Yarrowia lipolytica: one gene and its partner. The protein of the gene in region 1 purifies or fractionates together with the protein of each later gene. This does not show direct contact. Links are inferred from orthologs where the notes say so. Each region holds a gene or a part of one and is shown on either strand. Other genes may lie near its edges.

Region 1 (3,246 bases):
TTGATCTGAGAGGTTAGCTGAAAAACTAAATCAACATGCAGCCTTCTTCTTTTCCCGAAAAGTCACTCATTTTCTCGCAGGTGTGCCCATTAGCAAAACACAGACTCTCCAGCCCTTCCTCATAGAGTTCAAGCGTCATCAATTGGGTATCTGACCATACTGTACTATATCTTGGCCAATACAGATGATGAGTAAATTCTGAAAAGCGCATTCTTTTCTAAGTAGACTAGAAACTTGATTTCCTTACTCACCCCAACCCCATATACGCGTACATGCCACCTGAATGTCACTCAGGGCATAATACCCCACCTGTGGATAAACTCTATTCTTCCCCGGATATCTCCCACAGTGACCTCTCTTCTATCACTGTCACCTAACACACAACACACCAAACACAATGGCGACGCTTGCAAGGACGGCCAAGATCTTTGGACTCTCGCTCGTTGCTGGAGCTACTGCCATGACCGGGTACCACTTCGGTGCTCTGGGGCGTCATGAGCTGACTTATCCGGTTGCTACCGAGAAGGATCATTTTCACTCCAAGGAGAGCACCTTTCTTCACAACAGTCAATTCGCCAAGGAGCTGCGGGAGAAAGGTTTTCGTGAGACCCGTTTGAGTGAGAAGATTCCTCTGGAGTACTCTCGAGGATTCCTGGAGTCGTTTCTGAAGAAGCCTGGATACCTGACCGTTGATCCACTGCTGTTCTACAAGCGGTGTGATGACGGAAAGAACGGTGTCATGTATGCATTTCTGCACGTCGGCGACCATTTAAACGGACACACTGGAATCGTGCATGGTGGTTTCCTGGGCACCCTGCTGGATGAGTTTGTATGTCTGGGGGCCTTCCCCAGCCTGCCCTCTCAGCAGTACGGAGTGACTGGCACCCTGGAGATCAATTACCGACAACCAGTTCGAGAGAACCAGTACCTCATGGTGCGAGTGGAGACTAAGGACATTCAGGGCCGAAAGGTAATTGCTGACGGATCTATCGAGAAGTTTGAGGGAGGTGATCTGTGGGAGAAGAAGAAGCAGAACGTGCTTGCTGAGGCTGAGCTGGTGGTCATTGAGCCCAAGTGGATTAAGGAGATGACTCAGTACTTTAAGAAGAAAGACGAGTAGTAAGGATCTGGAGATGAAGGCAGTGTTTTGGCTACTGGACTCAAAGTCTGCTCGCTCAGTCAGAGAGAAGCTACCACGTGAGCAGCAATGAGGTGGGACAATAAGTGACCATGTCTGTTTTGTTAGATGTGTAACAATGTTTTTAATTTGTTTATGTGACACTGGCGGGACATGTTGTCTCAATGGGAGATGTCGATATAGAAGCTACGAGTAGCGAACTGCGAGGCGTTCAGGTCATACCGGAGGCCTATTGTAGGAGGTGTGAGGAGGATGAAATACTTCAGCTGTATTCAGCTACCCTAATGAATTTGCTGAAACTGAAATATTAGATCCTTCAACAGAATCATCATATCCTCAGGCTTGCCTGGTCCCTTTTAGGATTGAGCTCACACAGATGTCTCTTATCCGTCATACAGAATTTGAAACGGTATAGTCAGTAAAAAATTGATAACCACTTACAGTCTACTGTATCGTACCAAAGCATCAATGTTCTCCATGAATTTTCACTACAACTACAAGTAGCTTCCGTTACAAAGAATGCGTGTCTGAAACACACTATAGACCATTTATTTAGCCTTCTAAAGTCACCAAAAATATATGTTGTGTCGAATTTTAGAAGTTATAACATTGTACCACAAGTTCTCGAAAAACGTCTACTCATCTCGCTCCTTACTGTTCCACAACCCCCTCCCAAGCCCTTCATCACCACCGATTAAACTTCGGCCTTATCGAAAATAAGCTCATGGTTGTACATATTTTGATGCATATTTCTGTCCACCTAATTTTTTCCTCACCACATCATGATCCAGATCAAACGCATCAACGACAAGTATCTGGTGTTTAAGGTAGAGGACATCCGGTTTCTCCGGCAAGAGCATCTCATTGGAGGCACGTTAATCGGTACGCTACCTCAAATCCCCCAACAGAATGTCTTCTGTGGCCTGCCACTGCAACTGTTCAAGGAAGAGGTGATATTTCTGATGAAGAATGGAATTGCAGAGGTTGTGGACGATAGTGCAAGTCATGTGACAGCCCTTACTTCCCAAACGCCTGAAGATATCGAAAACTACGAAAAACAACGCCATACAGCCCAGCAACTGCAGATCAAGGAGTATACAGAGGGTATGCTTGAGCGACGTCGGCAGGCTCTTGAGAAGAAGGGAATGAGCGGGAAGATTGACAAGGAGGTTGTGGTTGCTACTGATAACGCCATATCATACGTCACTGATGCTACCACTACAAATGAGACGCTGGAGGGATACAACATGTTCAGCAAGGAGAATGTGCTGAGCGACCTGCTAGAGCACGTGACTTCGGCTCAGTATTATATCTTCAACTTTTTGCATTCCCGAGGGTATTTCTTGTCACCTGGCCTGCGGTTTGGAGGCAATTTTTTGGCATACCCCGGAGACTCCGTCAGATACCACTCCCATTACATTGCTATTGGCAAGGAGTATGAGGAGAAATTCCCCATCAAAAGTGTTATTGTTGGAGGAGGGCGTCTTGGAACTAATGTAAAGAAGTGTCTTGTTCTTGGGGGAGAGAATGACGAGGGTGGGGACAGTGTGTATTGCATTGAGTGGAGTGGTTTTGGTTAGATGAAGAGTGGGTGACAATGTACATACTATAATGAAAAATGATAATAAAAAGCTGAGGGATCTGATTGGGTTGTTGCTACTTATAATATAGATCGTTGACAAAGACCGCAATGTTTTCTTTAAGAAACCTTTGTGGTGTTGTTTATAGGTTCTTTTACAATACAATGTCAAAGGGTTTGCCATATGATCTTCATTTTGGTGTCGTATGAAAAATTACGGCGAGGAGATGAAACCATCAAGAAAAACAACTGTTGACGTTCACCAGATATACTGTAGAGCTTCTTTGAGCTTCACAAAAGCTGTCGCTTCCTACAAAGTACAAGTACAAGTACAAGTACATAGATATTCCTGCTCACACCAGAGCCCACCTTGATGCAGCATGTATTTGTACAGTAGCCTTACACGTACAATAGGAACAAACAGAGAAGTGTGGTGATGTCGTCTTCTCCTGCCGACTACAGCAACGTAGTAAATCCCTTGTTTCCACGTGACCATTCAGTCGATTTTCGTTTTCGTTTTCCTTAACCA
Region 2 (3,521 bases), on another chromosome or scaffold:
CAGTCTAGATCGAGATCGATAAATCCGTTCTAGAGGGGTGGATGTAAGAGATCTCCGTGGATAAGGAACTATTGAGCTGAAGAAGTCCATACATATGTCAACGGTGACGATATACTGGAGGAAAAGAGATGATATGACGAAGGAACTGTTGCTTCTGGTTGAAACTAATGGTTACTTGTTCGATCTCCGTGGATTCCAATTCAGGATCTCTGGCTCCATCTTCTAAAGTACAGACTTGAAATTGGTGGCGCTTGTGGGTCTTTGCTGATTGGCGTCACGCCTGCGAGATTCAATGGGCAGTGACCAAGACCTTGGGTCTGTTCAACGGCATTGTTGCTGGTGGGGACAAGCACGGTTCTGGTGTGAATGTTGCTGGTGGAGTTTCTGGTGAAGAATGTTGCTGGTGAAGTTGCTGGTGAAGTTGCTGGTGAAGTTTCTGGTGAAGTTTCTGGTGAGGTTTCTGGTGAAGTTTCTGGTGAAGTTTCTGGTGAAGTTTCTGGTGAAGTTTCTGGTGAGGTTTCTGGTGAAGTTTCTGGTGAAGTCTCTGGTGAAGAACATTCTGAGAGTTCCGGCATATCCGTTCAAATCTCACTCTGTCACCCGCCACCGCCGCTAGTCCCGATTCCTCGAGGGAATCCACCGCCTATACACCACCTCTCGCACCTTGAACTGCTTCAACACCTCCACCAGCTTGGCATCATCGACAACGCCCTCGACCTTTGGCACATCCACAAAACAAAAGACAGTGGTCTTCTTGACTCCGCCAATGACTCGACACAGGTTCGACTGCCACCAAAAGTCGGGCATGGGCTCGTCCTTAGGCATCACCTTGATGCAGAACTCGGCATGGGTGAACGGAGGACCCTTCTTGTACAGCAGAAAGTCGGCTCCAAACTTGATGCCCGACCGAACGCACCAACCTAGCGATCGGTAGTGGTGGTAGACGGCGTAATAGGTCAGAAACCGAGGGTCCTTGCGGGTGAACTCGTCAACCATGGCCTTCACATCCATGTCGCCGACCTTGAGTCCAAACGCCATGTGAAGAAACAGCGCCTCCACGTCCATGAGCTGTAGAAACTCGATATCCACGAGGTTGCCCAGCGAATCCACCACCTCGTCGTCTTCCGTTCGTTTCTCCATTTCGTAAGACTTGGCGAGAAACGCGTCCCGATCAAACTCCGGACGAACAGGCTTGTCGTCTTCATTCTTGTCAGCCACCGCCAGACCCCGATCAATGTCCTGGCGTCTCTTGAGCTCCTCCTCCTCGGCCTTGGCTCGCTCGGCTTTGAAATGCTGCCGCTGCTCTCGTCGGAACTGAGTCACCTCTTCAGGGGCATACACCCCCTCCTCCACATGGAGACCCAGACGTCTCTTGGTTCGAATGTCCCACGAGGGCTCGGACCGAGACAAGATGCCCTTGCCAAAGAAGCCCATCTTCCACAGACCCTCGCGAGCGTCTCCAACGGCCCGAACTACACCATCAACATACTCGGCGGTATACTCTGGGCTTGTATTGCCGGCAAAGATCCATCTACAGAGAAAATACAACACCGAGATGGGATTGTGTATCACCGGTGGCACGACATCCACCACATACGGGTATGGATGGGGGTATAACGCGTTCAAGTTTTGTTTTTTCATTACACAAATTGGCGCTGTGCGAGCTCAACGACGGCGGACTTTGGTTAGTAAGGCGGAAAAAAAGGCAACAAGGGCAGAATCACAAAAATCAGATACCGTTGTAGTCTATAAGAAATCACTCTCAGGAGTTCAAGAAAGGTTTTCGATATCATCATGTCAAGAGGAAGAGCATTGTGCGCGCGACTGTGTGCTGTGCGCTGTGCGCTGTGCGCTCTCCCTGTTTGTGTCGGTTGGTACTCACCAATGGGCTCTGTGGTTATGACGACAAGGGGTGGATTTTTTCTGCTTTATAACTACCCACCGCGGTTACCCGGGGGTTGGGAGTTCTGAAATATGTGTGTAAGACTGGTGTTTACTATGGGGTAGGGAGGGGGTGTATAGGGCACGATAGGGTGGGCATTTTTGGAATTTTGAAATTGGAGACGGTAGCAAACGGCAAGGAGAACTTGGGTTTCAAAAATCACGTCTTGAGCTTCACAGGATCATGTTTTTCAGATGGGGTGTTAGTTGGCACTCTATAGTCTTAGCTCATAACCTATAACAAGTATGTATGATTGACATACAAGACGCCTGGAGCTCTCGAACGGGCCAAAAAAGAAGCCGACAAAAAGATAGGTCGTACCCGGACTCGAACCGGGGTTACTGGAAGTTAGCTGAGCTTTCGTCAGAATCCAAGGTGATAACCACTACACTATACAACCGAAAGTTGGGGCAAGGTTCGATAGGGGAGTTTTTGAGAAGGAAGGGAGAAAATTAAATCATATTTAGAATAAAAAAATCATAAAAAAGAATAAAAAAACATCCCATTTTAGGGAAGATTAGGAGGCGAAGGAGGAATACCGGAGTTTCAGCTTGATTTTTGACGGCGAGTAGTGCTAGATAAGACTTTATCTGGTCAGATTTGAACGTCTCTGATGTGTATTGATATGGGTCCATGGACTTGAATTAATTACTTGAGCATCAGTAAATAGACTCAATTGAGATGTGTCAGTCAAGTAAAGGCAACAAAAGTGTTTTCTAGTAATATGTATCTAGAATGATATTATTTTGTATAAAACTACAATTAATTTCTTAAATAAGTATATAGAGTGGATTTAGAGAGTTTTAACCTGATTATTAATGTATTAAACTACTAAAAAGAGTACTTTTACAAGTACGTATTCGGATTTTTTCAATTTCTTAACTAAACTTAAGTAGTATATTGATATCTTCAACTCGCCTAATAAACAACTCATACAAAGTCTTGAAGTTTCTGGGAAGTCATAATGATTCCAAAAATCTATTGGGACGTTATATAACCCCTCAACCTCCCGTTATAGACATTCTAATGCAACCCTGTTGGTCTAAATATGCCTGTATGTCGGCATCTAACCCCGAAGGCACCGATGGGATCTTGGGAGCCCGCTAATAGTGGTAATATTGCTCAATTGTCGCCACAAACCAGTTCAATTGACTCCAAATAGCCTGTGTGATTTGATTTCAGGTCGAAAAACACAAGATAGTTACCAGAATATCGAAGTAGCGAGCGCCTTCCAAGTTCTCCAATATGGCGAGCAACGAAACTTGACACGAGGAGCCCGGGCTCTGATACAGCTAGTTGGTCTATCAAAACACATGCTTGAGAACATGTGTGGGCAGCGCTGAAGAAGCTGGAGTCCTTGAACCTGACAGAGGAGATCCATACTCGGATCAGACGAGCGATACTTGGATCAGACAGACGATAGTCGGGTCAGACGGACGAGATCCATACTGGAATCCAACAAGAGAAAGCCACAATCCCAGAGTCCACTTGGGCAGCTTCTTGAAGTGTAGTCTTACTGGGCTGATAGCACCGACTCCAGATTATGGCAACGAATCCAGGTTGAAACCAGATTCAGAAA

Evidence for each region. The genes of interacting proteins can lie anywhere in the genome.
Region 2: the proteins of YALI1_E33858g (region 1) and YALI1_B09333g purify together in Saccharomyces cerevisiae (affinity purification with western blotting; 4 studies listed by BioGRID, with this or other methods). This does not show direct contact. The link is inferred for Yarrowia lipolytica from reciprocal best matches to the Saccharomyces cerevisiae genes SEN34 and SEN2.

What each region holds. Positions count from the first base shown.
Region 1 is NC_090774.1:3,383,878-3,387,123, forward strand, and holds YALI1_E33858g (uncharacterized protein), read left to right. Parts: upstream 1-1,920; coding exon 1,921-2,718; downstream 2,719-3,246. Other genes in the region: YALI1_E33843g (uncharacterized protein), read left to right, coding at 398-1,120. UniProt on the Saccharomyces cerevisiae protein: Constitutes one of the two catalytic subunit of the tRNA-splicing endonuclease complex, a complex responsible for identification and cleavage of the splice sites in pre-tRNA. It cleaves pre-tRNA at the 5'- and 3'-splice sites to release the intron.
Region 2 is NC_090771.1:931,758-935,278, forward strand, and holds YALI1_B09333g (uncharacterized protein), read right to left. Parts: upstream 1,642-3,521; coding exon 613-1,641; downstream 1-612. Other genes in the region: YALI1_B09316g (uncharacterized protein), read right to left, coding at 1-90; YALI1_B09320g (uncharacterized protein), read right to left, coding at 98-264, 327-558. UniProt on the Saccharomyces cerevisiae protein: Constitutes one of the two catalytic subunit of the tRNA-splicing endonuclease complex, a complex responsible for identification and cleavage of the splice sites in pre-tRNA. It cleaves pre-tRNA at the 5'- and 3'-splice sites to release the intron.